Coturnix japonica: one gene and its partners. The protein of the gene in region 4 interacts with the protein of the main gene of each other region in a pairwise test. Links are inferred from orthologs where the notes say so. Each region holds a gene or a part of one and is shown on either strand. Other genes may lie near its edges. The genes, in order: EHHADH, GEM, NUP35, KCTD9, TRIM42, SYT6 and EGFR.

Region 1 (4,387 bases), on a different chromosome or scaffold from region 4:
GAGGTGCTGTAGGTGAGATGTTTTGGCCACAAGGCTGATGCTGGCGGGGCTTGATACCCAGAAACTACCATCTCTCAGGCAGATAAAGGACATGCCCGCCCCTCCTCAGCCCACTCCTGCTGCAAGGGCAATGCCCTTCTCTAACCCATCTCTGGTACGAATGAACCCCATGGCAGGAGGCCCAGGAGAGGGTAGAGCACAGCACGTCCAGAGCTGTCCTGCCCAGTGACGTGACAGCCGCCAGCAGCAGCAGTGCTGTTGTGTAACATGTCACGCGGAGCCCACGCGCGTGGAAGCAGCGCTTCACCTTTGAGCAAATGCTGGATTGCACTCAGCTGTGACACGCAAGTGATGGGGGGGGGGGAATGCAGCAGTTTTCAGCACCTAAGAGTTATTGCTTTCTCTGGTGCTGGAGGAAAATCCTCCCTTGAACAAAGAAATAGGTTCTGGCTTCTGGAGGGTTTCCTGACCCCAGTTTTGCACTGGGGCAAGAGTGGATAAAAGGCACAAGAAGCTACGTATAGAAAACAGTGGAATGCAACCACTTCCAGCATGAACTCCTTCACAAACAGGGAGTGTATTGAGTTCTGCCACATAGAGAAGCAATGGAGGTATAAAGAACAAACACATTTTCCATCTTCTGCTTTACGATACCCAGTAATCCGTCATTAGATAATCAAAATGGTTTTATTAAAACAGAAAGCAACAATTAGACATTCAGTGTAAATCTTCCTGAGGACACCAACCTAAAAGATAAATTCACTAGACGTGAGCAATAGGTGACTTTGCTCAAAGCATGGAAGAGCTCTAGCTCACTCCTGCTCTGCTCTCTGCTGGAAGTCTGCCCGCCCAGCTCTCGAGCCCTGCTCTTCTCAGCACGCCCTCTGTGCAAGGAAAAACCCGATAAGTGCCAGGCCAGGTTTCAGTCTGGTCAATTAGATCAATTAGGTAGCCACAGGCAGGCAAGATAGGGGGAGTGACAGCAAAGCAAAGCCGCACTTAAGAGATGCCAGAAGATGTTTCTGCCTGGACAAAGCCAGGTGGATGATAAAGGAGGATGGAGTCTGGATGCAGAATGCCAGTCATGAGCCAACAGCACAGTGCAGGTTAGTCAGGTTGATGCATATGTGGCTTTTGTGTCATTTATTAGAATCTTTTTCGGCAGCAGGGAGCAGGTGATAGTACCAGCCCTGCCCCCTGCTCTCTCTCCGAAGCTGCTCTCACCAATACCTTTGAATTTACCTCTGAAATGTGCCAGCTCTCCCCCAGCAGTGTGAAGGGAGGAGGCTCCAACTGGCTGCATCTGGGACTGCCAAGTAATCTGGGGTGGAGGAAACTGCACTGCAGGGAGAAGGAAGGTCTGAACAAACTGGAAAACAGACTTAGGCCAGGATCTGGTAGGTCCAGCTGATCCTGGGTGAACGGTGACCATCTTGCTCTCCCCTCCCACTGTGATTTGCTTTGAGGGCCATGTGTTGTTCTGTCCCTTCTACAAAGAAAGACTGGAAGAGATGCACTGCTCTCAAGAATTAAGTGCAGAGGAGAATGAAATGCATTTATACACAGCAGTGTGCCAAGAAGGTGGGTGAAGCTGGTGGCAAGAGGCAAGGGTGGGCGATGGCAGTGGTTGCCTGCAGCAAGGTGAGACAGAGATCAGGCTCACCTAGGAAGGTAATTGACATTTTTTATCAGCCTGTAGCACTTTGGTTCTGATTGGAAAAGTGCAATTGCAGCAGCTGTTTCATGAGATCAACCTCCAAGGAATTTCTATAGCAGGTATCAGTGAAATCACAGCTTGTTGCTCTGCCTGTGTAGGTAGGACATCCAGTCATTGAGAGGAGGGTTCCCCATAGCCACCAACTTTTTCAGAAAGGCACTGGGACGTAGCTGGGGAACATCAGGGTGCATCTCAGAGTATTTTTGCAGCTTAGCCAGAATGTTAGGGAGCCCAACAGTGGAAGCGTAGAACATGGGGCCACCCCTGTGCTTTGGCCATCCATAACCATTGATATAAATTACATCAAGGTGTTCTGGGCCTGACGCTATTCCCTCCGCCAGGATGTCAAATCCTTCACTGATAAGAGCAAACAAGCAACGCTCCAGGATTTCCTCCTGGTCTATAAAGCGGGTCTTGATTTGATGGGTGTCCCTGTACTCAGACAGAAAGCTGTGAATCCATGGGTCTGGTTTGGATATCCTACCCCCAGCCTTCTCATACTGATACCAGCCTTTTCCAGTCTTCTGGCCAAACCTGCCTTTCTCACACAGAAGGTCAGGCAGTGGGCTGTAGCGATAACCACGCCGCTGGCGGGCGGGTGTTCCTGGAGCCAGTGAGGGCCCAGTAAGGCCCTGGTCCTTTCGAGACCTCCAGCCCACATCCAGCCCAGCAAGATCAGACATTCGGAAAGGCCCTATCTTAAATCCAAAATCTTCAAGAACCCGATCTACGTCTTCTGGTCTGCTTCCTTCCTCTAAAAGGAAAACTGCCTGTTGTGTATATGGAAACATCATTCGGTTCCCAACAAACCCAAAACAGTTCCCTACCACCACTCCAACTTTCTTCATCACTTTGGCTAGCTGCATGGCCGTGGCAATGGTGGTGGGGGACGTGTGACGGCCATAGATTATTTCTAATAGCCTCATCACATGAGCAGGGGAGAAGAAGTGTGTGCCAATGACTTGCTGTGGGCGGTTGGTGACAGAAGCTATTTCATCGATATTCAGGGCTGATGTGTTTGTACACAGAAAGGCCTCTGGCTTGCAGATTCTTGATAGCTTGTTGAATATTTCCTTCTTTAGTGCCATGTTCTCAAACACAGCTTCAATAACTAGATCTACATCCCTCAACACATCAAAGTCCACGGTGAACTGGAGTCGTGCAGGGTTATGGAAATCCAGGGTTTGGGCACCCTGCTCCATTTTCATAGCCTCACGTTCCAAAAGGAGCATCACGGCTTTTCTTCCTGTGTTCAGATACTCCAGATCCTGCTCCAGGCCTACCACAGGTATCTTGGCTTTAACCAGAGAAGTCACGATGCCTCGGCCCATTGTTCCAAGCCCTGGAGAGAAAAGTGAGATAGAATCAGAAACTACAAATAGAAAATGTTACAATCAGTCACTTGACAGCAGCACTTCCTTCAGTATTTCCAAGATAAAAAGCAGAAGCTTAAGCAAAATGCACAGGCAGAAAGAAAGAACTGAAGACTCAGAAAAAGGAAGGTTAAGTCTCTCTTTCAGGGAGCCTCAGTGTCTGAAGAGCAATAGCATAAAGGCAAACTGGTGTCTTCTCAAGGTTACAAAATACCAACGGGATTCACAGGGGTGTGTGTGGACCACATGAATTCATGTCTTGTCCTTGCAAAGTTTTATCCCTATGGAAACCAGCATCACTTAATAGTTAGAACTTGGGGAGTGAAGACAGAAGACCAACACTATTTCTGGCAGCTTCATCCTGAGGACACCAGTGCCTCTCTGGTCCTTTTGAGATGGCCCCTCATGGGCACTCACAGATGAACACCTCTGCAAGCAAAGCCACCCCACACAGATATTTTGACACCAGAAAAGCTCAGACAGTTGGTTTCTTCCTCTTCCTTGCAAGCTTCTTGTTCGTCTCACCCTGCGTTTCATTGCGTAATCTTTGATGTGAACACAAATTCAGCTGCTCTTTCTTTAAGGCATCTCAGAAGAGTCTGATCTCGACTTTCATGTCTCCTATATCACTCATCATCAGTTCAGGCATGGAACTGACACTGTGCTCTTACCCTGAACATCTTGCTTGCTGTTCACGCTTTGTATTGTACATCTCTGCCAACGGGGGGCAATCCAAGTCCTCTGATAAGGGCCATTCCTAACTTTTGAGGATTACTAAAGATACAGCCTCCCTTGTCTAACCACACTCTTGTCCACAACCAATCACCCATTTAAGCTGTATTTTTTTTCCTCTGAGATCCACAAATGTGCTACGACCAGCCCACACCCTGAGAAATAACACTGCTGACATTACTGCCTTGATACTTTCCCTCCTTTTGAGCCCTTCCCCTGGCTCAGCCCTCTGTTACATTAAGTGAAGCTGCGTGCTTACACTCTCCTATGATACCCAGCCCACGCTACTTATTCTATTCTCCTACAATGGAGGCTTTGTGGACAGAGCTAATACAAACTAGTGAGAAAGCCAGCGCAATTTTACCAGCTTTAAAACTGCAAAGCACTCAAATGGGAGGATTATGAATATCCTAAAGAAAGGAACAACTATGCAAAGGCCAGGTCTGTTATAATTCTGTAAAAACGATTAATATTATTTTTTTAATCCTTGGTTTACAAATTAAATTCAGCTAAACAAATAAACCGAAACAAAGGGATTAACATTTTTGTCTAAAGCAGCTTTATA
Region 2 (4,709 bases), on a different chromosome or scaffold from region 4:
CTACTTGAAGATGTTCTGCCCCTGATCCGAATCATAGAATCATGGAAGCTTTTCAGTTGGAAAGGACCCTTAAGGGCCATCTAATTCAACTCCCTTGCCATGAACAGGGACACCTACAGCTAGATCAGGTTGGTTACAGCTCCATCCAGTGAGCTTACTTTGAAGTCAACATTTTAAAAGGGGAAATACAACAGCAGGTTTCCTGATACTTCCATAAAGCTGGCCTTGAAAACTTGTCATGGCCATCCTCCAAGCAGTAGTGCTGGGAGTGCAAATGAATGAAGAATCCATACTGCTTCTCATGAAGAAGGAAACTATCTGACAAGGATGTGCAAAGTAAATCCTGGCTTAAGAACCAAAAAACCTGTCCTGCCTATGCTCCACCAAAGGCTGGAAAAAAAAAGCTCAGAAACTCTCCGTGCTGTCATGGGCATCAGCACAAGCGGAACAGATAGAGGAGAGAAATGCTCTGTGTGTTGAATAGCAAAACCAGCCAGCAACTTGCACGTGTTACCAAGATGACAGCACCTGTGTCCTTAGGACCACAGCAGGCTTCTATCACTGCATGTCCCTTCTTCCACAGCACCTTGCTCACACCCTCATGGCTGGGTGCCACAGCCTCACCTTCTGCAATGACTAGTCTTTGGGACTAAGGAAGGTTTCAAAATCCTCACTAACACGGGAACATGAAATGAGGGGTAGATATATTTTGCTCAGACTCCCTACAGCCTATGCTGACACAACATATTCATATGTAAGGCTGAGATAACATATAATGGCAAATGTTTTGGAGAATTGGATAGGGCTTTTTATTTTTCATTGCATATTATTTCTGAGCATTACATTCTTGTGGACCACAAGGAAAGGTCCTTGTTTTCCTCTGCCCTATAGAAAGCTGGAAATAGCCCTTTGGAGCCTGTGGTGACACAAGAATAGGACCAGAATGAATACTGAATGGCAGCTTCCAACAAATTCTTTGAAATAAAAAAGCATGAGAATCTGTATTGTTCCTTTTCAGATGCTTTGAGTTGTTATTAGAGAGTACCATCCTCGTTGTAGCTTACTTTGCTTATTCTTGTTTTCTTAAGAGAGATGCATGTGTTGGAATTGCTTTTGACAATCAGATCCAGATGTTTGCTAGGTCAATTTTACATTAATTGACCTTTCTGATTTTCCACGTCAATTTCTGCTGCCATGGCTGGTGGTGAGCAAACACAGACCCCAGAGCATGGTGACCTACCTCCCAGCACCTCGCAGTCGCTGTCAATGCTGTCGTGTACCCCTGCAAAGATGTTGGCCAGCGACGATTTGCCCACACCTTGTTCCCCAATCAGCACCACTCTGTAGCAGTTGCTGCAGGACTCAGAGGAGATGACAGAGTCAGATGACTCCGAGGACCAGCTCCTTCTGTAGTATTCATCAGGACTGATGGTGTATCGCTTCTGCACATTGTACTCATTGGAGTCCTTCTGGACCAACAGGTTCTTCCCATCAGCAGGAATGCTCCATCGCTGCTGCTGCTGCTGCAGGCTGCTGTGGTGGGTGCGACGCATGGTAACGTTGTTGAGGGTCATTTTTTTACCCCTGGTGAGAAATGTGGAAGCCATACACTTTATTCTCAAAATACTTACAAACACACCATCTCAAGGCATCAGGTCCTGCTCTTCTATGGGGATACAGTATGCAACAACAACAACAAAAAAGGAGACTCCACACTTTTGCAGTTGCTAGTACTAGTATGCAAAGAAATATTTCTAGCTTGTGAGTCAGAGGCTTTTTCCTGGGGATGATGCCACCCCCATACACTAATCCTCTCTGTCTTTAGCCTGTACATGTTTCCTGTAGTGCTAAGTGTATGGGCAGGGAAGCACTCAGCAGAGCTCACATATGGCTGCATCCCCATCAAGAGATGGGCAGCACCTGCAGGCAACGCTCCCTGCCCTCCTGCCTCCTGGGGCAAGCAGAGGGACCCATCCCTCATACCTCAAACTCACAATCTTACACAGCTCCCATAGGAGAGGAAAGCCATGCAAGCAAGCACATGTCTTTGGGTCTCATCTATGTCGGGATAAGCTTAAAACAGTGGCTTTCTGGCTGCTAGCAGGGACACAACCAAGTCCAATGACTTTTCAGAGGAGGTATATGTTCAAGCCATTACAGAAGGTGGCACTGGCAGAAAAAGATCATAAGTTTACAAATACTAAATCAGAAACTTCATCTGTTTCACAATTAGCTAATAGGTTAGCTCTTCCAACCTTAGCATGGCCCCTAATTACACTTAAATTAGCAAACTCAGTTTTGAGCGGGTTGGCGGCAGAGCACAGTGATGTCATTCTCACGGGCCACCAGCTACCATTTTTAGGAATGTTACTTCTGTGGCTATTTGGACATTTTGCTTTTTGGAGTATATCTGAATTTTATCAGCTCTGTTCTCCATGTCAGTAGGCAGGAGAGCTGCCCATGAAATGAACTTTCAAACTTGAATAACAAGCGGTGAATGAAAACAAGCACAGCAACACATGAAAACAACATGTTCGGATCACTACTCCTTTTCACACAAAGCTATCTGAAAACTTCTTAGAATGAACATAGATCAGGCTGGAGAATAAGCAGACCAAAACCACTTTCTATCTGATCTTATTACAGCACTCACAGTACTTACTCTGTGACACGCAGTGCTTAGTGGCAAAACTAGATTCTGACAAGAAACTAGGCATCAAGCAAAGCCTGCTTCACAAAGTCAGATAGGAACCGCAGTTTGATTTACCATGCATTACTTTCTTTCAGTTTCCCCAGTGAAAAGACCAGATGAGAAAAAGCAATTCCAATTCAGTCAGATATCAGAGCCCAAACAAATGATGACCATCAATAAACAATCACGTCGCAGTCCAAGCCCAGGTTTGATGGCATGCACTGCACTCAGCTGTGTGGGTCTACAAAGCCACAACAAACCCCACAGACACAGGACCCAATGCACAGTGGCCAGAGATTCCTTACTTGTATGTGACCGTCCACGCTGTCAGCTCCGGATTCGCGCTGCCTTCCGCTCCGTGGGCTGTGTTACACTGAGCTGCTCTGCCAGAGTAAATCCCCTCCCGCTTACGGGCTGCCTCTTTAATTCCTTCTCAGCGAACCTGGTTTATATTAAGCCCATCTGATCGGAGACAGGGCTTTTCCGTGACGTGGTTGGCCTTTCCATCCAACAGCCAACCCCCAACTGGGAGGAAGCAGACATGCAGAAAAGCAAAAACTTACAAACAGCCTCAAAAGACTTACTTGAAATCATATGATTGTCTTGGTGTTGCCAGTAAAACAAACACATTTGGGGCTGACATGAGGAAAACAGGCAAGTGGAAAAATTAAAAAAAAACATGTCCTTCCATCTTGCTCAGTTCTGCATTCAAACGCCAGCAGGATTAATGGTGTTTTTAAAACTACGTGTTTCATTAATGAATATAATGCAGTAAATGTGTGATGTTCTCTGTCTGCAAAATGCAGTTAACTCCCCACTGGACAAGATGTTTTTTTGTGGAATAAAAGATCTGAATATCATTTTAGAATTATCTCACAAGCATGAATATTATTCTGTTGTTGTTTTGTTTTTTTTGTTTTGTTTTGGTTTGGTTTATTTGTCTTTTAAAGAGATCCAAAACATACAATCCTACTTTTTCCATCACCTTCCAAGGCTCTACCAGCCATCTCCCACCCCTGCTGCAGCACTCCTCCTGCAAGGGCTCAACAGAACGGCTGCCCACAGACTGAGTGCTGCTCCAGCTGGACGCCAGCAAAGACGGATGTGAATTACAGAGCACAGAGCCCGGGCGACACGGTGCAGATTCTGTCTGCAGTTTATTAGGAGAGATGGCTATACAGTGTATGCACCACAAAGCATGTGCCTGCTCCTCAAATGGTGCCATTTCTAACAGCCTGTGTGGAAATCACAATTAACAGAGCAAAGAAATAAACCTCCACAAAATACTTGGTAGGGATACCATCAGTTATACAGAAGTCTACAGCAAACTCCCACTATTTTTCCTTCTTTTTCCAAACCTGTGACTGCCCTTCCCCTGGCAGCTGAGCTTTAGCACCAGCGCTGTGCAGGGTGGAACATCCCTTCCCTTGGTACTGCCTGGCACTCATGTCACAGACTTCTGCATTTTTGTGTCTCACATAAGCCTTGTACAGAACATTTCCTCTGATAATGCAGCCCTTTATGAAACTCTTCCACTGAGATATGCCTGATTTCTCTCCCCTTCAGCTTTGTTGCACTTCTGCATTTTTCATGAGGATTTTCAGGGATCTTCTGAGCCCATCCTGTTGGATCACCTCTGTTCAGCAGTGGCTGCCCTGGCTCCAAGCCCTGCAGCTCTGCGTAGGATGCACACAACAACTGTTTGTGCTCACTGTACAGCACAGCAAAACACGGCACAACCCCTGTCAGGGAATGTTTATGGCAAGGCCAGTGGGTCTCAAAGCAGAGCACTTTGCTGTCAGCACACCGAGTTCTGAAGTTGCTCCTCCCTTTTGCAAAATGTAAATGAAGTGGGGGAGCGGATGGCTGCAGAGCTGCGTGCTGCACCCTCAAGGGATTTCAGTTCTCTTTATGTCGCCTGTCACTCGTCACCTCCTATAATAATGCAAAACCTGTCCATCACAGGGCTGCAGAGTTTTATGGCCAGATGGATGCCAGCAGAACCGTGGGCTCTAAC
Region 3 (3,607 bases), on a different chromosome or scaffold from region 4:
GAGCTTCCATAGCAATCGCTTTCAGCAGCATTTAATCAATTAATAAGTCTGATAAAACTCATTATTTTCTATTTAACTGCATATGTTCTATGATTCAAATAGAAAACAAAGTGTGTAGGGGAAACAAAAAGGAATCCCAAAAGCAGAATGCTTATATTTTATTTAAAAGAGAGCAGTTGTTAACTTACTTTATCTATACAAGGTTTGACACCAATCATGATGGATTCACCAAAAATTCTTCCATCTTTGCTTAAGGCTTTTCGGGCTTGAAGCTTAGACTGATACCGAATATGCATCCAGTTTCCTGTGTTGGACATCTGTATGTGATAAAATGAAAACTGTGTAACTTCACCATTTTAAAGTATGAGCCAGAACGTTTTCAGAAATAAGCTTCGGACTAAGACATACCACATGCTTTAATATGTTTCCATACTGAGCAAACTGTAGAAGAATATAGGAAGCAGATGCTTGGGGAAATCTGAAAGACAAAACAAATTCCCAAAAAAATGATGAGTTTTGGTGATAGAACCCAACTCCACCAAGGGATTTCGCAAATCCAGAATAGACCGGCACTTTAATAGCATCTTAGAAGGAGTAACTTGAGTAACACTATCTTGTATGCATTTTTAATTTGCCATAAATAGAATGGTAGAACAGTGCCTTTCTAACTTACTAATACGTAGAGTTAAGCTTCTTCACTAAGATAGCAGGTATGTGCACCTACCGGCTTTACAAGCAATTGTCCATTCTGAAGAATGTAGGAACATCAAATAGCAGCAGTCCAAGTGCTACTTGCTTCCATTCGTGGCTAAGACCTAGCCCACAACTATCCAAATATTTCCAAATAAACTTACCCAAATACAGTTACCCATGTGTCATCTAATTGATCTTCTGAAGTCAGGGAATCACCCTGAGTATAGAAAGGATCTAGTTGAGCTGGAGACAGAGTAGTCTTCCTAGGCTGTCCAATACTTGCAGGACTGAACATACTTGAAGCTGTTAAATTAAAACAAAACTGTTTAATATATTCATCTGCAAGACAAGTCAGCCTAAAAGAAGTTCACTATTAAGTATTTCACTTGTACCCAGAAGAATTCAATGGAGATTAATTTGCAGACAAACATTTAGTTAGTCCAGATTTCAGAAGTTTTCCAGCTAGCTAGCAGGCTTCACTCACCCCCACACAGCAACTACTCAATGCAGACACCAAAGGGAAGCAAGACACTCAGAGTTAAGCTTAACAAGAAGCCATGTGTTCATACAGAAAATTGGAAGCCTTATCAGCACAGACAACCACTCTTGAATCACAGAAGCTTCTCTCAAACACAGATACCTCTTGAGCAAGAGATGCTCAGTGAGAAATATGTGAAGTTGATGGAAATTCTACCACTATGAGTCAAGCTATTTCCTATTCACACCCACAAAACTTTTGAAAAGCTAATGAAAAATACAGATGCAGCAAACATGCAAGGAGTTGAAGTAGTTTGAACAGTATTATGTGTTAAGGAAAGCAGTAACAAAGTAGATGAAGAGTTTTCATAGGACATCTACCTGTTCCAGGAGTTGATGATATGTTTCCAACCAACGGGCTCTGCGTTAGAGAAAAACTGCCCTGTAGTAAAATACAGAAAGTAAATAACATTTACATAGGTACACTTCTCAGATCAGAACAGTTCTTTTTCAGGCTAGCTCAACAATCAAGCAGTAATATTAACCCCGTCTTAAGTTACTTCTGACTTTCCAGACTAATATCCAGCATGTATGTATCTGTATTTGACACATACTAGCACCCTGTAAGGGTGGCTAATATAAAGATGTTGACCAAGATGGTGGTAAACAGTCAAAGGTTATTAGTAAAAGAAGACTCACCAACATCGATTCCTGGACTGGATAGCTGAGGCAGTCTCCACCAGGGAGCAATCTCCAAGAGATGCTGCCTCAGTGGTGGTCAGCCCTTAAATGAGGTCTCAGAGGGGGTGGAGTCGAAGTCCACCCCAACCGGGAGCACAGCTAGATTACTCTCACCTGTGCTCCTGCAGCTGACCCAACACTTGCCTCAGCTGACTAATCAGTGGTTCAAGCTGTGATTTCCCATACACACCCAGTAGGTGTCAACAAGCCAAAACTCAAGTATTAAAGAGTGCATGGGAACAATGAGCAAACTACTTCACAAAATGGTTGCACAAGCAACAGGCAATATTGATATCATTTTATCTAACGAGAAAGCCTTGCTGTTATATATGAAAAAAGCTCACTTAGGTCTAAGTCAAGCTTTAGGTCATTTAGAAATCAGATGGTTTGTCAAAAAAAACCTTTATCTAACACCAATTGTAAACTTTATCAATCCAAATAACTTCTGGTACCAATACTCACAAAGCTGAGAGTTTAACTTGATCCAACCAGACATTTTATTATTGCTGCAAGCCAGCAATTTGCACTACATGCATCTTAAGGAAAGGATGGCAGCATGAGATATTATCAGCTGATTTGCATCTCAAAAACTCCAAAATAACATAGCATAGCTCCTACTTGTATTCACCTTTATTTCTTCTCCATAGAACCATTCAGTGTAACTTCAATATTTAGTGAAGGAAACTAAACACCAAGTTCTAATTGCTAATAGTTATTTCCTACATATCAAGTTCTCAGTTTTTGAAACAATTTGAGTGTATTTTTATCCTCAGTCATAGTATTTCTTTGAAAGAAAACGAAACAAAATGGAGCACCTGTCAGCTTAGCAACCTGCATTGAAACTATTAGCTACTCATTATCATTAGTACTACTTTTAAGCAGTAGGGGACTCTCTTCTCCTTGGAAAGCTTTCAGAAAACAACATCTAATCAAGTCTGCTCATTGAGAAACACGCATTGTCTTTCCATCAGCAGATGTACATTGAAAAAAATACCCACTAACACTTGACCACTCAGTTGAGGTAAGAGGAAGAGTTTACTATCAGAAATATCACTGTTGCTCTTTCAAGATTAACCCCCCACCTCACTGCCCAAGTTCACATCATATCTTATACTCAATAATGGGATGATAACAGCAGGATGACAAAGTCCTCAGCTACAGCAAATGTGAACTAGCCCAAACACAGCAACCACAGGTACAGAAATGAAAAACAGCTGCTTACTTTAAGACCTCCAGTAAGCAGGGATCTCCAGTAAGGGATACCCTCACCTCCACTGCCAACCCTTAAATGAGGTCTGGGAAGGGGTCTACTGAAAACCCTTAAAAATCAGAAGCAGTCCCATAGCAAAGCTGTCAGAATACCCAGGAACAGGCCCAAAGGAAGACTGGAGTGCATATCAGCATGATCACAAGACTCACCAGGCACTACACTAATTCAGTTGCATAAACTGTTCTTAGGTATTCACTGAAGACCTCACCTTGTCTGCTAAGAAAAAGACAATAACTTACTGCTCTTCTTGAGGTTAGTGGTGAAGATCCAAGTCCAGGACTAGATAATTCATCGTATATGCTTCTAACTGGCGGAGCACCACTTTTATCTTTATGTGTAGGGACTACTGGCTGTGGAGGAGAGCCACCTGAAGTTAAAACAACATAACAAAAGGAAGCTGGTAACTTCAGCCTGCTGCAGGTTGTT
Region 4 (4,773 bases):
TAAATCTGAAAGCATTTGCTTCAAGTTTCAGGTTGTTACCACCAAGGGGTTACAGGATTGAAACCTCCCACGTGAAAGGGCGTTTCTTAAAGAAAAGGAAGGAAAATAGGAGTGGAAGGGAAAATTCCCCTTACATCTAACCCCTTCCTGCTATAAATAGCTTAAACACATCTCATGACATGCCTAAGAACCATTACTAGAGTAAAAGCAGTATTAATCTGCCCTTGGTTGGTAAATACATCTCATTTGAAACAGAGTAAAATGCAACAGCCAGAAAAGTCTAAACTAGAAAAACAGACTCTATTATAAAGTATTAGCTCTGGATGGGAGTTTTAGTTTCAATGTGTGAGATAAACACTATATGAACAAAGGTTAAATAGACAACTAGAGAAAATGATCATAAGTAGTGCTTTGATGCTTTAACATACTTTTAATACTTCAACACATAAACAAGAGCTTTAACTTAATAATGCCTTTTACCTGTTTGGCTAATTTGTTAGCTTAAAGGGAGAGTTTTGAGATACTAACCTTTATCTTTAAACATGTGGGCCAGCATACTGTCAGGTTCTTTATTAACCAAAGTACTCCTAGAAAAGAAAGGCAGTGCAGTTTTATTTTTCAAGTGGAAAGTTTTGCTATAAGACCAATATGCTGGAAGGAATGCATTTCCTTGGCACACTGAAGGTAATTAACGGTGCATGATATGCATTCCAACTCTGTGCTAATTTGATTTCAGAGGAGATAAAGCACACTTCTGATCTAAGGTGTACCAAAAGTACTTCAAATAGAAAGCACTTCATTAGCTGAAATGTTCCAGGGATAAATGCAGACCTGCTCAGGCTTTTCACCACTGTCAGCACATATGTGAACTGTTTATGGTGGCAACAAATGCCTAATACTAAAAAAAGCTGCAAAAGATTTCCTACTCCACAGCAAAAGACTTTTCTTGTTCTTTCTCAAGAGCATCTAAAGTCTCAGTACCTGAACACAGCCCAGCTACTATAGCAACCTTACTGAAGGTAATTCCAGCTCAACTAGCCTCATTTTTACCGTGTGGTGGTGAAGTATCGACCTCCAACATTGAGTGTTAGCCAGTCTGTATGTGCCCCCGTTAGCTCTTCATGAGGTCTTGCATCAGTCTGAGGATCTACACAGGTGATGAGAAGACAGATGTTAGAATTGTGAACATTTCTGAATCCTCCATATGGTAACAGGTCAAAATTTACACTAAAGCAAAGCATAGAAGCATAGAATGGCTTGGGTTGGAGAGACCTCAAAGCCCACCCATCCCTTGCCACTGCCTCCCATCAAATCAGGGTGCCCAGGGTCTCATCCAGCCTGGCCTGGGGCACACACAGCTCCCCTGGACAGCAGTGTCAGGGCCTCACTACTCTCCTAACAGCTACCCTAATTATTCCTTCTTTTAGCATAAATCCATCCCCCCTTGTCCTGTTACTATCTGCCTAAGTAAACAGAAGGCTGAAGAGTTAAAGACTTACCAATGAACGGTTCCCCTTCACATACAAACAGAACATCATCATCCCTGGAAGGGGAGAGGGCAGAGGGAAGAAAAACAGGAAAAAATTGATTAAACAGCTATATGTTCATCTAAGTAACATTGGGATCCTCTCCTGATTAGTTTCAGGTATATGATAATCCGATTCCATTAGTTAGAATCAAGAATCTGATTGTTCTCTTAACTTCGCAGGTTCCAGATGACTGCAATTTTACCAGCTGCACTAGAAATGCTACCAATAGAGACTTGTATCAGCCAGGTAGGGATCACTTCTGATATTCAGCAGCTTTAATTTTATGAAATAGTTCCTTTTCTCCCCACTCTGAGGTGCTTTATGTTACATGAAGCCAAAACCATACCATAGTTTGTCTCCTTTTCAAAAATAATCTCTGGTTTTATGGTAATCACTTGTTATTCATAGAATGGCTTAGGAAGGGACCTTAAAGATCCCCAGTACCCCTGTTGTGGGCTGCTTGCCCCCCATCAGATTAGGCTGTCCAGGGCCCCACCCAGCAACATCCAACCTAGATCTCATCTTTTATTTTAAAGCCATTTCCTTCTGTCCTATTACAACATGTAAAAAGTCAGTCCCTCCTCTTGCTTGTAAACTCCCTTCCATTACTGAAAAGCTACAATGAGGTCTCCTTGGAGTCTTCTCCAAGCTAGACAAGCCAAACTCCTTCAGCCTTTCCTCACAGGAAAGATGGTCCTGCCCTTATTAAGAGCATTAACAAGCTATTAATCTCCATCCACGACTTGGCATTTATGGGATCAACCTTACCTAATCAAGGCAATATCATCGATGAGCCCACCTTTCCCATTGTAAACACTGGTTGCTTTGATCCCCAGCTTATTACTCGCCACAGACAGCAAATCTGACAGCGTGCCATATACAGCCACTACCTGCAAAGAGAAGGAAACCACATTAGGGCTGCTACCATCCCAGAGCAGCATTGGGCCTTAAAACCTGATATGCTTTTGCTATAGACATTGCTTCACAGCTTTGAGCAGAAAAAAAGGTTATTTATCAGCTACCCAACAGAAAGCACAGCACAGGAAGACCTCAGCACATCCCTAATGTGCTCAGGGCATGTTTCTATCAGCACAGCACCACTAAATGGGAGCTGAACTGCATTGAAGAGCAGTTATGCCTGTATGGGGTCTATGGGGCCCATATGGGGTTGTGGGGCCCATATGGGGTTGTGGGGCCTGTATGGGGTCTATGGGGCCCATATGGGGTTGTGGGGCCTGTATGGGGTCTATGGGGGCCTGTATGGGGGTCTATGGGTCCTATATGGCCTAGGCCCAGTGCTGCCCCATACACAGGCCTAGGCCTCAACCCGGCCCCTCAGACCCCACTACCCCAATCACGGCCACAGTAGGCAGCCCTCCAGTCCCAAAGCAAGCAGAGGAAAATAGAACAACCTCAGAAACTCACTTTCAGGTTCCCAAATCCGACCCACAGGCCTCAACCCCCCCACCCCTCACCTTCCCGTTCCGGGGACTGCCGTTAACGAACAGCGTGACCCGCCTCATACTGCCACCAAACCCGGAAGTCAGCGCTCTCTGAGCGACAGGAGCTATAACCAATCGCAGCCAAGCCGCTGGCCAATGAGAAACGCGCCTCGCAGGAGGGGCGGGGAAACAACGAGTGGGCGGAAGCAGAGGTACCAGCAGCCAATCAAAAACAGGAGTTGGGTGCTTAAAAGCAAACGCTGCTCGCGATTGGTGCGCGCTGTCACGTGGACGGCGACCGTTGCAATTCAAAATGGCGGCGCGGCGCGTAACGGTCATTGATGGCTCCGCGGTTCGAACGTGAGGGGAGAGCGGGGATGGCGGCTGAGGTGGGGGGGGGGGGGGTCTGTGGTAATGGCCCTTGTATGGCCCTTGTATGGCCCTTGTATGGCCCTTATTGCCTTAAACAGCCCGGTCCGTGGAACCTAACGCGTATTCTCGTGAGCTGCTGCTGTGGCCTGTTTCCCTGAGCTTTAATACCTGAGAGAAACCCAGTAATGCGAAAGATGTGAGAGACCTAAAGAACCCCCCCCCCCTTTCCCCTTCCCCTTTATACTATTCATACCTCAATTGCGTTTAAAACGGGCATTTAAACGCTAAATGTATATATTTACCACAAAATAAAAGCATAAGCCTGTGTTTCCTTACCCATAGCCAAGCTTCTGTGCTTCTCTTACCATAAGGCTTTCCCTATTCTTCCCCTTTCCCCCCTCCCCAAGTGGTTTTCTAGATCTGCAGTCATTTCATATCATTACAGGGCTGTTTTCCTTATCAAATGACTTAAAACTTGTCATTTTTTAACAGGGAGCTGTTGTTATTGGAGGCAAGTGAATAACTTTGTGCTTCTTCGGGCTTAAAACACGTTGTCATCAAAGGTTAGAGATGCTGTGCTGGAAGATGAAGGCAATGAGAGAAGAAATCTTGCAGTGACTGAAGAGATCCCCATTAGAAGAGTGGAAGGTTTGCAAAGTGACTGAGCCTGAAATGGCATCTGAGAAAGAGAACGTAAGCAATGGAACCAAAGGCCAAGAGCAGGAATTGTATCATGATGCTGAGAGCCATCAGTGGTCAGAATGTCCCTTAGATACTCCAAAAAGGGCTGTGGTTGGTGAAGCTGCCCAGCCTCTGAGCAGCAAAGAGAATGTTTCAGGTAGATCCGTGCCTTTGGGAGATGAGTGCTACTCAACGCCTGCAAGGCTCAAAGCAGAAGAAAAATCCTATTGCGAATTAGCAGAGAAACAGAGGAGAAAAAGTGTCGATTTTGCAACTGTAACAACTGCTGATTTTGGGATTACTCCAGAAAGCTTTGTTAATGGATCTACAGGTAAGGCAAGGCTGGAGTGATCAGAAAGGGTTGGACTGGATGATCTTGTAGGTCTTTCTGCTCATGCTGATTAATTGATTTTCTGACAGTTTTCTGAGCTGTAAAGCTATATGAGGTTGTTTCCAGAAATAACGCAAACCATTCTTTAAAGAAAAAACCCAAACCCCATTAAACCAGTGTTCTGCTGTACATCTTCATTGTTTTTTTTTCCTTCTCTCTCCATTTCAGCAAAGTCTCCAGCTGCTCTAAAGCTCAGACGAAGATCAGCCATTGGAGCAAGGGGGTCTCCAGAAAACAATACCCTCATTCAATACCTTGCCCAGCAGAAGAGCAACAGGCAAAAAGAAGCTTTAACACAGGTGAGGGTTGTTCTCAAGTGTCTAATGCATCATTTTAATTCCCTTAGGGATCAATATGT
Region 5 (4,702 bases), on a different chromosome or scaffold from region 4:
ATCAAAAACACCAGAGGCTGACAGTAAATTTTGCTGAAGTGCAGCTAACATTTTGGAACAATATCACATTACCATTACAGAACCTTACACAAATATTTTGCATTTTACTTTTTGAGCTTCAAGACTGTTATGAAAATGCAAATTGAATGCTTCCAGTTATTTCTCACTGCATGTGGTTCACTATCACCTTTCCAAATTCTGTTTTCTGTGCAACTTTGTCTGTCCCCAGCATTTGTGGTGTTATATGCAAAAATCAAAGTATTTAAAAGAAATTCATAAAATCCCAGTCTCTGCACTGTCACTCAGACACTATGGATGAACTCTTAGATAAAGGAAGTGACATTGCTGTAGCTCCTCAGAACATTGAGGCTGTCTTGCCTCTTACTCAGCATGGACACAATCATAATACTGACTGAAGAGAGACAATTCATAATTTGCCTGCAGGGAAAAAGGCATGTACTTCTGATTTAAAAATGTAGGTGTAATTTGTGGTTGTTTCACACTGGGTCTCGCAGTATGAAATGGAGTTTCCTACACCAAGATGCACTATCTCACATACAAATCCTTTGTTCTCTAGTATTTGAATTTGTCATGTGGTTCCACACAATTAAAGGCTTCTTTCCTCTGTATTTCCACAGTGGGAATGGTTCATCTTTCTGCCTTTTGTGATATTCAAAGAATTAACGTGGCTCATCAAGTGTATGTGCAAGTATCTTTCCTGCAATGGCATAGGGAAGTGTAAGAAGCAGCAGAAATACAAACCTTCTTTAAATTTTACAATTGTATTGGAGAGAGAAGCAGCTTCTCTTGAACACGCAGCTGCCAAAGGGATGGTCTCATGGTCACTGTGTTGCAAATTCTTGCAGAAACAACAGATCAGTTTGTGGTCATCCAGACAGTATTCAGAGAGGTGTGAGTTGTGGTGCAGTAAGCATGCCCACTGTTCGTTATCTTCTTGAGATGCACTGGTAAAAATGTGGTCTTCAGCTCCACTCTCAGCATGATATAAATGCAGACATTCATTGCACATGTTCATTCCACATGTTTTACATCTTTTAGTTGCCACTTTTCTTCTCTCCCTGCAAGCTTCACAATGGACTGGTCCTACACTGTGGTCAAATCTCCATTTCAGAATGCCATGTCTGCGCATGTATTTCTTGGCTAGTTTTGCTCTAAGGTAATTCTTCCTCAGCTGAATTTTGTTTGTGCAAGGGAGACAATGAGCTTTGCTACACACCGGGCATATGATGATGTAATAATTTTCTGTTGCTTCAGCTTTGGTCTTGCTTTTTATTATACATTTCTCACAAATGCAGTGATTGCATGGCAGCATAAGTGGCTGGAGAAATAACTGTTTACACAGTGGACAGGCAAGCTGGTCACGAAAAGCCTGGCTGGAGCCTTTCCTTTCTGGTATACTGGCAGATGTGCTATATCTAGTTCTTAATCTTGATGTGACATCTCCTGACCTTAAGCAAATCAAATGGGGGGGGGGAAGCAAACAAATGAAAATGTAAGGCAGAATATCAGTGCACAATCTAAGAAACAGAATGATAAAATAAGCAGATCCATCTTGCATGCCAACCGTCCCTTTATTTGGACAGGATATTTTATTTAAACAGTTAAGTTAACAATACTAAGAATTCATTCTTTTCATTTTCGTAACTATTTCAGTGTATTTGAATGCTGTTTCCAACAATGTGAGTAGGCAGAAATCTTACTCTTGTCAAGTCTCTCTGAATTTCTTGAGTTAATACTGGTGTCCAAAAAACAGATTTCATTTTGGTTTACTGCAGTCTGGAATGTGTTTTTGTCTCCTTCTCATTTGCTTCTTTTTATAAACAGAACACAAAAATAAATAAAATGAAAAAGAAAAAACTTTTCAATTTAAAATAACAACACACATTTACATAGAAGGATCCTAAATTTTAATTATTTTAAAAAATCACTCATTATTTCTGATTTTTAAAACAAATGAAGATTATTCTTAGCAGCAGTCTTACATCATTAAAATTTTGGCAATTAACATGAAAGAATCAAAATTTGGATATTTTTATTAAAATTAGAATAATTCTTGTATTTTAGAAAATAACTGATTCTCTGCGTTCTCTTTAAATCTTGATTATCCTGGCTTTCCTCTTAGCCAGTGGACATTATTGTTTGAAAAAAAGAGTATTACTTTTATAATGATCCTGGCCATTTTCTATATCCTTGGCAAAGAGCATCATTATTCAGGATGTACTCCTGATTCTAGGAGACTACAATCTGGCCTTCTGCCATGCTTCAGTTTAGCACCTTCTCTGCCCAGATGTTCAGCCATGCTATTTCTTTTCTTGTCACTCTAGAGAATGGTAGGGAAAAAAAAAAAAGTTTTTTTTTGCTTTTAAGAAAGAATGATATCCTGTGGTTTGAAATACTCCACTGAGCCACTGGATCTTATACTTCTAAATGCAAGACATCCATTAAGATGGAATGAAAATTAGAAAAATTTAAACCTATAAAAACTAAAAGCCCTTGATTCCACTTACTGAGCAGTCCCTGGTGCTCTTGACCATCGTGGTTCAAAGACATAGATTCTGCAGCATTTGCTTGCATAGTATTGACACGTTGAATTCTCACCACCACAGCAGCAGCATTTGCAGTCTGGGTTACTTGAGCAAGAGCAACAGCACCACCAGCAATTTGCATGCTCTGAACATGAGCAGTGGCAGCACTGGTAAGATTTGTCCTCTTCGTATGGGCACGGAAAACAGCTGCAGTACTGCTCATTTGTAAAGAGGAAGCGCCAAGATGAGCGGCATTCTTTCTTTACGCTGTGGCAAGTCAGATTACAGCAGTTTGAGAAGCATGAGCATATATCCATTTTCATCTATCCCTCCATTATACAGCTGAAAGAAAGTTCATTTATCCTTTTAGCTTCTCTTCAAATTATTGCAGTTGGGTTCCTACAAGGCAAGAGATCTGTCTGACTCTAGGGTTAAGGTCTGTGCTGTAGGCAGTGCATGTTGTTCTAAATGGAATGTGATGTCACAGTGATGTATTCAAATAAGGATGCAGGCAGGGTACTATATACATGTTTATACACATTTTATACACGCTCTGTATGCTGATTTACAACATCTATATGTCATGATATTTCTAATTGTTCTTGAAATCATAGACAGCATTTACCTCACTCTCCATTAATAGCATGAATAGTTTGTGCAGTGGGATTAGCTATCCCAAGGCAACAGTCTTGTTAGAACTACACACTTTACAGTCATTTTGTTGGCTTCAAATATAGCTATGACACGTAAAGGAAACTTACACTTGATATGCGTCTTTGAGTATGTCTTTTATCTGTAACTGTAATAAGTCTTTGTCAGTGTTGATGCGCTTGAACAGTGTATGGCATTTGGTCCTCCGAGACTTGGGGAAGGAACCATCCTTGGAGCTCAAGTTCAGTGCTCATTCACAGTGGACTTGCATTTTCCCCCTCTAAGTCCAAGTGTGTTTCTTCACCTCCCTTATCCTGACCACTCTTCTATAAATGCAGTATTAGGCCTAATTCTTTAGTTACTTCATATCAAGCGCCTTTTTCTTCTTTTGTTTAGCTAATTTATTTGAAGATTTAAATAGTGCTTTTGTCTATTTGCAGAGATTATAATTTTAAATAAAAATGAAATTATTGTAAAAAATACATGAACTTCTCAGAAGTGCATACTAGTAGTTTACTGTAATGATTACGTCTAACTAAAACAAGAGCCACCCACTAAGTTGCCTGCAGCTGACATCTGAAAAAGCATGTTCTCTTACTGGAAACTTTTATAGGACAGTGATAGCTTTATGATACATACTCAATAATGCTGCTTTTTATAAGTGGCTGCTGTACTTTATGTATCTGAGTTTTCCTGAAATTTAGTAATTCAGCTTGTGATGATGGGTGAATGCATAACTGGGAATTACTAAAATGGGTCTTGATCCTATTTGCTGAAAGTCTGTTCTACATAAAGAAATTCTAATTCACTGATCCAGAGCCTTACAGACTACAATGGCTGTATCATTATATGCAGCCATCTACATGATGGGACATAATGGGTTCTTTGCAACGGTTATAGTCTATTATGTCAATCAGATTTTCACACAGAAGTATTAGATTTGTGTGCTGAATGGCATAGCCTGGACATTCAGTGGATGTTGTTTATACCACTTGTCTTTCTAGTTTTATCAGCAGTAAGACTTTTTTTCTGTGCATATTTAATTTTATCACATTGAATGGCTTTTGCATTCATTTGGTAGGAAAAAATATATCTTCTGATGCTTGTCTGCTTTTCTTTCGCAAATGTTCTTTATGAAGTATGAGTTTTTATTTATTTTTTTGTGAGAAAAGAAAGCTGATAGGATAAGGAAAAAAAAATAGTAGTCCTGTGTGCCATACGCTAATACCCAGTCACATTGTTTTCCATTTTGGTATAATACAGACTCTAATAGCAACTTGTATCATTCTTAGGAATGTATACTGTTTTCATTGGTTCTCTGTGGGTTGTATTTTTCTACTTACTCTTGGACTTCTTTGGCTTCACTGCCCCATGTAGTTCCCCTAAACCATCTTCAGTGCTCCAGATTTTTACGTACTAAAACTACTTATCTCAGCAACCTATTTTGGTCATAGTACAGATGATGGTCCCTGTAACTCTGTAGGCCTACACCCAGTTCTAAGGTG
Region 6 (4,096 bases), on a different chromosome or scaffold from region 4:
GTCCTTGGGCAAGAATTCAGCTCTCATCTCTTCCATTTGCAGGCACATCTCCTTCAAAAGACACCTTCCCAGGCAGATGCACGTATCCAGCATGGACTATGGCATGGACTCACCTGCTGTTGCTGAGCAGCCGACCAGCATCGGCCGCATTAAGCCTGAGCTCTACAAGCAAAAATCTGTCGACTCCGAGGACCCCAAAAAAGAAGCAGCAAAAACCTGTGGGAAAATTAACTTCACTCTCAAGTACGACTATGAGAACGAGACGCTGACCGTCCGAATTCTCAGGGCTTTCGATTTGCCAGCCAAAGATTTCTGTGGCAGCTCAGATCCCTATGTGAAGATCTACCTCCTGCCCGACAGGAAGCGCAAGTTCCAGACACGAGTGCATAGGAAGACCCTGAACCCCACCTTCGATGAGTCCTTCCATTTCCCTGTGCCCCACAAGGAGCTGGGGAGCAGGAAGCTCCACCTGAGCGTCTTTGACTTTGACAGGTTCTCCAGACATGACATGATAGGAGAAGTTATCTTGGAGAACCTGTTTGAGGACTCAGATCTCTCCAGGGAGACTTCCATCTGGAAGGACATTCAGTATGCAACAACGGTGAGTGTCTGCTCCAGCGGTGCTGGGGCAGGTGGGTTGGCCTTCCCCTATGGCTTACCTGAGCCCTGTGCAATGGGAGCAGCTGGGTTTATTGCTGGTGGTGCCATTAGCCCTGGGAGCCTACAGCAGTCACACACAGGGATGGACAAGGCTGCTCTATGTAGAAGCGTGACAGCTGTAACCAAGCCCTGGTTTGCTGGGATTTCATCCCCTCATTAGTGGTTTGCTGTTATCTCACCTGCAGTGAGTCTCATTGACACCAGGTTTGCTAAAAACCAGATGGAGGAGTGAGGTAAATTCCCTGTTATCATCTGTTCATCAGGGGAAGGTCTTGGGTTCTGGATGTCTGCCACGTGCACATGATAAACAGCCAGAAATAGTTTTGGAGGGGCTGTACTGGGCTTTACTATACGGAGAGCATCATTCCATCATGTTACCGTTCCCGTGGTTGTTATGAGCCTTTCAGCAGTTCTATTGTATTCTCTCTGAAAGGGAAACCTAACGTCAGGGATGGAAATGTTCCAGCTGCTTTCAGTGCTGCAGGCTTTGGCTGAAGCTGGCAGGAGAAGCCACCTTCTCACCCTGATCTTGTTGCAGAAGCAAAGGCATTAACCTCTATGCAGTAGCTATCTGCTTGTCCACTGTCCTCCCAGGAAGACGTGACCCTTCCTGAGGGGTGAACAAATGACTGCTCTGCTCTGCAGTTGGACGCCAAATCAGTTGTCTTTTCAGGTTGTTATTTCTGAAGCTGGAACATGGGAAGTCCTCAGCCCTGCCTGGGCTTGGGCTGGCCCCAAACCCTTTGGTGATCGTGGTGGTGTTGGGACAGTGGTTGGACTTGGTGATCCTCAAAGGTCTTTTCCTTTAATGATTCAGTGGTTCTATTCTATGCCTCATCCTGTGCCAGGCTCAGCTTGTGGACAAGGAGAACCTCTTTAGTGCGTGCTGAAAATCATCCTGATAGATTAATAAGGTTCCTTTTTTGTGAAGCAATGAATTCAATTCCCAGTAGATGCATCAAGCAGCATTAAAGGCAGAGGAATAATAACTCAGTAACTGTTCTCAGTGTTTCAATACTGATCACAGACTGTGGGGCTGTGACTCAGGTCACTTTGCCCTGAGGTTTGCTCTGCTAATGTGAGACCCCTGAGTACAAGGCAAGATTTCCTTTAAAATCCATTTCCAGAAGGTATCTGGAAACCTTTCAGGTGAAGTCCCAGCTGTTTAAAGAATACCAGGCCTGTTCATAGTCTTACTTTTGGTCTATTTATGCTTATCCCTGAATTCCCATGAGCAAGGCAATGATAGAATGGGCTTTTGAGAGGTGTAAAGAGAAATGCTACATGTGCAGGAGGTGTGAGGAGCTGTGTGTGAAAGTTGTTTTACAGAGCACCCAAACAGCAAATGGTATCGATCTGTGTCATCCTGAAGTGCTAAACGTTTCTGAGTGCCATCTGCTGGTTAATGCACTATTTATGTACAGACATACACACATTGATGCTGTGTTTGTCAGCTCTGGGAGGGCACATTTGAATGGGCGATGGTCCAGGGAAAAGCCTGTTCTGGTGCGAGTGCTGCATGAACCCTGCACACAGCATTGCGATGGAGGGTGGATGCAGCCAGGCTGAGTCTTGCACGTTTCCAATACAGTCTGTTCTCTGTTTTATTGAAGGAAAGCGTGGACCTGGGAGAGATCATGTTTTCCCTTTGTTATTTGCCAACTGCAGGTCGCCTCACCCTAACAGTCATTAAATGCAGGAATCTCAAAGCGATGGACATCACCGGTTACTCAGGTGGGTGCTGGTGGCTGAGGGCACTGTGAGCTGCAGCCACGCTTCCTCCTCCTCCCATGAGATACCTCAGTGGGGACACATCTCATTGTGCAGCTCAGTGCTTCTATAAATGCTGCATATTTGCTGCTACTTCAAAGTGCATTGCAATTGTCCAAGCAGCCAAAATCAGAAACAGGAGCCATTTGTAACCAAGATGCATTCTGCCATGATCAGCCAACAGAAAGCAAGCGAGACAGAGCTGTTCTAATATCTTTTCTTCCTCTGCTGCTCTCTGGGAAATATGAGCTTTCAGATTCCTCTGCTCACTGTAACTGTGCAACATAATGGAAGCAGTTGGACAGATTTGGCAGCAGTGCAGGAAAAGGTGCCACATCCATGCTATGGAAATGCTGTTTCTGTATTGTGAGGGTAAGAAAATAAACCTCCATAATCAGAAGTCCTTTTCCTCTCTCCTCCTTGCAGATCCATACGTCAAAGTGTCTTTGCTATGTGATGGTCGAAGGCTTAAAAAGAAGAAAACCACCATAAAGAAAAATACTCTTAATCCTACTTATAATGAAGCAATAATCTTTGACATTCCCCCAGAGAACATGGATCAAGTCAGCCTGCTCATCTCTGTCATGGATTATGATCGGTAGGTGGAGGGCTCTGGGGAGAGGAGAAAATCCCATTGGGCACGGATGTTCTGCTCAGTAGTTGTTCCCTTACCATCACAGCCTTGACTGCACCCCTGCGTGGCATCAATGTGTCTCTAGAGATGTATTATGAATGTCATTTTTATATGGTTATAGGATCATAGAATAGCTTGGGCTGCAAAGGCCCACAGTGCTCATCCAGTCCCAACCCCCTGCTATGTGCAGGGTCACCAACCAGCAGCCCAGGCTGCCCAGAGCCACATCCAGCCTGGCCTTGAATGCCTGCAGGGATGGGGCATCCACAGCCTCCTTGGGCACTGTGGGCAAGAGATAAGTGTTGCTTTCCTATTGTTCTTCAGAGTGGGTCACAATGAGATCATTGGGGTTTGCCGTGTGGGGGTCAATGCGGAAGGATTGGGAAGAGACCACTGGAACGAGATGCTGGCGTACCCACGCAAGCCCATCGCACACTGGCATCCATTAGTGGAGGTGAAGAAGTCTTTCAAAGAGGTACGTGCAGTTCTTCTTTCCTTTGAATCCATGTACTGTGCATGACTGAGCTGGGTCAGGGCTTTCAGAGAGGAGCAGTTCTCACTTGGGGATTTCTGCTAAGAGCTGAGGGAATGTTCTCACCAGACATGAACTCCAGAAGCTGAACATCTCAGAGCAGCCTTGATAATATATAACTCCTTGAGCTTGCAAGCAAAAAAGATAAGAGCTGTATTTACAGATGTGACTGGTACCGTATGACTATTTTTATTTTTTTTAATTTTTTTGTGGGTTTTTCTTTTAATTGAAGCCAGAGCAGTAAGGAAAGAGAATGCTGCTCTGATTGCAGAACAAATTGTCCAGGGATATCGCGTAATTCAAGCTTCAGTTTGTTCATCCTAGAAGATTTTTCTGTTGACTCATCTCCAAGCCTTTGAGGGAGAATAAATAGAACAAATGTAATTGCTGCAAGCATCTGCAGAGAAAGAGATTCACTGGATATAACCCCAGATGGTGAAATAGGGCTGAGATGCCTGAGTGCCATTTTGACCATCTCTGGCGTTTTCTTCCTCCTTGAG
Region 7 (4,013 bases), on a different chromosome or scaffold from region 4:
AGCCAGTACACTGCCCAGTGGGTTAGAGTGCACAGTCCTTTACTCCATTCCACAATGGCTGCAACTACAGATCAAAACTAGATATATAGAGCCAAAAAAGCAACAAGAAATGGTTTGACTAAATGCAATGTCACTAAGCAATGAGAAACAAAATGGACATCAGTCAAATGCATGCTGCAGGAAGTGGCATGCCTGCTGTCAAAGGCACCTAACAGGCCATCCAGCAACTATCAGTGTAAATCCAGATTACTTCCTCTGCTGTTAATCTGGATCAACATTAAAGATGGTGGATTGAGAGAGAGGGAGGTATTGATCCCTGTGACAGTTCAATTTCTAACAATGCTGTTTGGTGCTGCATTAAGCACAGCTACTGGGTTTGTTTGGTTTGTTTTTCATTTTCATGACTGCAGTCATTCAAATAAAAAAGTTTCGTCTCATCCAAATTTGAAAAGATTGTTCTAAACTTCTGGTAAAATATACAGGTGAATTTTAATTTCCATTCAACTATTACATTGCCCATTATAGTTTGATTCTGACATTCTTGTAACAAAAAAGATTTGCCAAGGTAATTTGGGGGGGATAATACAAACTAAAATATTAAGAAGCATAAATGCATTTACTATTTGTACTTCTAGAAGCAACAGAATTTTATCATAAAACATGAGTGTTGCAATGTTTATGGCAGCATATTTGCTTTCAGAACTGTTATAAATTCAGATGCCATGGGGTCCCAAGGAAGTGGGTCTTCACTCATTATTTTATGATTCCCAAATGCCACTTTATTCTGTACCCACCTTTATTTCCTCTCTCATCTTCAAATGCGGAGAAAAACAGATAAAGCTCAAATAATTGATTCATGCTTCTTGAAGAAGTTATTCTGCCTTCCCTCTTCTGTCCCCGGTCCTCCTCACAGGAATGGTTACTCACTAACACAATGCTGACAATGATGCCCATTGGGTTTATCATGTAGCTGTTTTTTATTTAACAATCCTCAAATAAACAGCACCTTCATAATTTTATGAGACACCAGATTAAGCACTTTAAAGAAGGCAACAACATATATACCCTCACATTTTACAGATTCTGCTGGGCATGTGCATCAGGGTGTTCCATTTCAAAGGACTTAAATGCAGCAGACGGAGTCAGCTCTGCTCCCCGTCACTTTCAGTGGATGAGGGGAGACAAGAAAAGAAAAAGATCAGAAACCCAGGAAAGAAGAGCTGCCTACGTTACATCAGCAACAGGTATGAACTTGATTTCTGGAACAAGGGAGCCTCTTCAATGCTTTGAGGTTGTGTAACTAGTTCCTCAGAACAGGCAGCTGCTGCTCCCTTTCAGGACAGTTTTACTGTTCTCAGTTACAAAAACATAGGTTCAGCTGTTTTCAGCTGCAAGCCAGCTCTTCAAAACACTACTAATTCTTTTTTCCCTCTTTTTCTGTAGAAAGAAAACACAACAACAGATCTGCATTTTTTCCCTTGCTGGCAGATCTCCAAGATAAAGAGAACTGTACTCTGCCTGGAACAGCACTCGGGGCCTATTCACAGAAATGATCACCACACATGGAGAAAAAGCGACGGAACTCTCCCAACAAAAACGTTCTCTCACTCCTTAAACCAGTTTTTCAAAAACGTATAAAAAACAAAGCTCCAGAAGCCAACCAGACAGCCTCGCGGGCCGTCCCGCGCCGTTCCCACGCACGGCTGCCGGGCGCTCTCAGCGAGGGTGACAGCGGAGGCATCGGGCCGGGCAGAGAGAAAGAGAGAGAGAGCGAGCACGACCGGAGAACCAGAATCCGCATGAAGTTTCCCGTCCTCCCCGACACACCCTTCTCAGGTGTGTGCACACGTATATGCATGCATTCATCTTTTTGAAGCGGAATGAGCTGAGGTGCCCGGCCCGAGGCGGCGGGACGGCTGAGGCTGCCCTGCGTGTCCCTGCCGTGCTCGGTGCCACCTCCCCGGTGTCGGTAGCAGAGCGGTACTGGGCCGGCGGCCACCATGGGGTGAACCCGGGCAGTGAGGGCGCTCGGGGCGCCGCGGAAAGAGCACGGGGGCGGAGTGGAGGAGAGAGCAGAAAATAAAAGCCTCGGGAGGGGACAAGCACAAGCGATGAGACTCTCAAAGGTTTATTCCCTTTTATTTCCTCCGCCCCCACAAAAGAAAATAAGCTTAGAATCAGGAAGTCATGAGCTGCGCGACTGCTCTGTAGGTCTGTTTTTCCATCTTTCTCTCAGTAGTTTTTTATTTTTTACTTTTTCCCCCCTTTCTTCTAAGGGACGAAGCCAAGACTTTCCCTCCGACTCTCCCCGCAGTACCAAGGGGCACACCCTGTAGCCCCAGCACCCGTACCACCCGTTACCTTTCTTCTCCTCCACGGCGGAACAGAGTGCGACGCGCCCCAGCAGCAGCAGCACCAGGAGAGCGGCCCCGCGGGGCTTGGCGGCGGACAGGGGGTTGAGAACGCCCATGGTGTGCATCGAACGCGACGGGCAAACGGAGCTCCCCGACGAGCTGCTCCTCACTTTGCGCTACTCTGCTCTGCGTTCTACTCCGCTCAGCTCCTGGCTGCCACTCTGCCTCCGAGCAACATGCTGGAGGGCAGCCGTCGAGGGTTGCACGCACACGTTCCTACCCAGCTGCAGAAGGACTGCTGCCTTCTTCCTCCTCCTCTCCTTTCCTACTCCCTCCTCTCCTTCTGTCGCAGGGGCTGCGGAACGGATGGGGCCGGCCAAGGGACTACTCTGCCCAGCTGCGCTCTCCGACCGGCCACGGAGCGCAGGGGCTCCCTCTGGGGACGCCGAGGGGGAGGAGGATGGGGCGGGAGCAAGAAGCGGGGGGAGGAGGAACCAGCGGCGCCTTCCCCGCCCAGGTAGGAATGGAACCGCCTCTACCTGTCCCAGGACAGAAGGAAGCAGCTGTGGGGGAGGGAACAGCTTGGCCTATTCCCCCGCTAGGTTTATGCGAGTGTTGAGGGTATCCCGTTGTCCGCTTCCCGCTGTTTGTTTGCTCGGTAGCTGCCGAAGGCATAAGCAGGCGTTTGCGTCGCCGCTTGTGAAAAGCCCTGTGGCCTTCAGCTCCCCATCCATGTCCCTCCCGTGGGACGCTCTGCAGCAGAAACCCATCCCGTCCCATTATATACAACCCTCGTTTCTGCTGCCTCGGCATCAACAGAGCCCGTGAACAGCCCCATTCCCGTGTGGTCATTTTGGCCACAAAGTCAATAGGATATGAACTACTATGATTTATTGGGAACTCCAGAACTGAATCTCACAATGAAAGGGGCTTGGGAGGTAACACACTAAATGCCTATGCCTATCCCCATGTGCTGATAGCAACACATGGGGATATCATAGATACATTACGTAGACAGTAAAACAGCTGCTGGGTGTATTCTGCCTTACATCAGTGATTCATGCCTTCTGAGAGATTCTTTGATAGTTATTTATATTGATTTATATTGATTCACTGATTTTATACTACCCATCAGATTCCTCTGCACATTTTTTTCCCTGATAGTTTAACAAGTTACTGTGCTAATTAGGCAAAGAAAAGTGAAACACCATTTACTTACATTAGCACAAGTTAGATGCTCCAACACATACCATATCGTGCCTCTAATTGTTTATTTTTAAGATGAGCCTTTGGATGCTGTAACTGGTATGCTCTTTTCCTTATACACTGTAAATAATACACAATAAATACGTCAAAGTAAACTCAGAAATAAGTAACATCCATACAGCACTGCTCCTCTGATTGTTTCTGTTCCTTTAACAGAGGCAGAATCTGATCCTGCAACAAAATATCCATTTAATTCAGTTTGCTTCAATGCTGTTTACACAGTGCAACCACAAAAACATTATGTGCATATAACACATTTTCATTTATTTTGACAAATATGAAGGTTTTAAAAAATGAGAAGCCCAGGAAAAAATCAGCTTTTAGAGAGGGGAGATTTGCAAAGTAATTTCAATGTACACTAATGGTTGCAGCTTGCATTATGAGAGAGGAAGA

What was found.
Region 1: the proteins of KCTD9 (region 4) and EHHADH interact in binary tests that used the Homo sapiens proteins (3 or more experiments, as listed by UniProt). The two-hybrid records come from large-scale screens. The link is inferred for Coturnix japonica from reciprocal best matches to the Homo sapiens genes KCTD9 and EHHADH.
Region 2: the proteins of KCTD9 (region 4) and GEM interact in binary tests that used the Homo sapiens proteins (3 or more experiments, as listed by UniProt). The two-hybrid records come from large-scale screens. The link is inferred for Coturnix japonica from reciprocal best matches to the Homo sapiens genes KCTD9 and GEM.
Region 3: the proteins of KCTD9 (region 4) and NUP35 interact in binary tests that used the Homo sapiens proteins (3 or more experiments, as listed by UniProt). The two-hybrid records come from large-scale screens. The link is inferred for Coturnix japonica from reciprocal best matches to the Homo sapiens genes KCTD9 and NUP35.
Region 5: the proteins of KCTD9 (region 4) and TRIM42 interact in binary tests that used the Homo sapiens proteins (3 or more experiments, as listed by UniProt). The two-hybrid records come from large-scale screens. The link is inferred for Coturnix japonica from reciprocal best matches to the Homo sapiens genes KCTD9 and TRIM42.
Region 6: the proteins of KCTD9 (region 4) and SYT6 interact in binary tests that used the Homo sapiens proteins (3 or more experiments, as listed by UniProt). The two-hybrid records come from large-scale screens. The link is inferred for Coturnix japonica from reciprocal best matches to the Homo sapiens genes KCTD9 and SYT6.
Region 7: the proteins of KCTD9 (region 4) and EGFR interact in a protein complementation assay, tested with the Homo sapiens proteins (2 studies listed by IntAct). The link is inferred for Coturnix japonica from reciprocal best matches to the Homo sapiens genes KCTD9 and EGFR.

What each region holds. Positions count from the first base shown.
Region 1 is NC_029524.1:2,549,747-2,554,133, forward strand, and holds the end of EHHADH (peroxisomal bifunctional enzyme), read right to left. Parts: intron 3,060-4,387; coding exon 1,789-3,059; 3' UTR 669-1,788; downstream 1-668. UniProt on the Homo sapiens protein: Peroxisomal trifunctional enzyme possessing 2-enoyl-CoA hydratase, 3-hydroxyacyl-CoA dehydrogenase, and delta 3, delta 2-enoyl-CoA isomerase activities. Catalyzes two of the four reactions of the long chain fatty acids peroxisomal beta-oxidation pathway.
Region 2 is NC_029517.1:114,173,903-114,178,611, forward strand, and holds the start of GEM (GTP-binding protein GEM), read right to left. Parts: upstream 3,139-4,709; 5' UTR 2,998-3,138; intron 1,585-2,997; 5' UTR 1,575-1,584; coding exon 1,241-1,574; intron 1-1,240. UniProt on the Homo sapiens protein: Could be a regulatory protein, possibly participating in receptor-mediated signal transduction at the plasma membrane. Has guanine nucleotide-binding activity but undetectable intrinsic GTPase activity.
Region 3 is NC_029522.1:6,181,513-6,185,119, forward strand, and holds part of NUP35 (nucleoporin NUP35), read right to left. Parts: intron 3,549-3,607; coding exon 3,421-3,548; intron 1,613-3,420; coding exon 1,552-1,612; intron 997-1,551; coding exon 855-996; intron 479-854; coding exon 409-478; intron 318-408; coding exon 189-317; intron 1-188. UniProt on the Homo sapiens protein: Functions as a component of the nuclear pore complex (NPC).
Region 4 is NC_029537.1:1,991,982-1,996,754, reverse strand, and holds the start of KCTD9 (BTB/POZ domain-containing protein KCTD9), read right to left. Parts: upstream 3,102-4,773; 5' UTR 3,053-3,101; coding exon 3,005-3,052; intron 2,420-3,004; coding exon 2,298-2,419; intron 1,544-2,297; coding exon 1,500-1,543; intron 1,148-1,499; coding exon 1,051-1,147; intron 588-1,050; coding exon 529-587; intron 1-528. Other genes in the region: CDCA2 (cell division cycle-associated protein 2), read left to right, coding at 4,016-4,355, 4,584-4,714. UniProt on the Homo sapiens protein: Substrate-specific adapter of a BCR (BTB-CUL3-RBX1) E3 ubiquitin-protein ligase complex, which mediates the ubiquitination of target proteins, leading to their degradation by the proteasome.
Region 5 is NC_029524.1:5,100,243-5,104,944, reverse strand, and holds the start of TRIM42 (tripartite motif-containing protein 42), read right to left. Parts: upstream 3,022-4,702; 5' UTR 2,870-3,021; coding exon 2,529-2,869; intron 1,470-2,528; coding exon 763-1,469; intron 1-762.
Region 6 is NC_029541.1:3,837,500-3,841,595, reverse strand, and holds part of SYT6 (synaptotagmin-6), read left to right. Parts: intron 1-42; coding exon 43-601; intron 602-2,273; coding exon 2,274-2,394; intron 2,395-2,856; coding exon 2,857-3,028; intron 3,029-3,388; coding exon 3,389-3,539; intron 3,540-4,096.
Region 7 is NC_029517.1:73,822,949-73,826,961, reverse strand, and holds the start of EGFR (epidermal growth factor receptor), read right to left. Parts: upstream 2,801-4,013; 5' UTR 2,480-2,800; coding exon 2,362-2,479; intron 1-2,361. UniProt on the Homo sapiens protein: Receptor tyrosine kinase binding ligands of the EGF family and activating several signaling cascades to convert extracellular cues into appropriate cellular responses.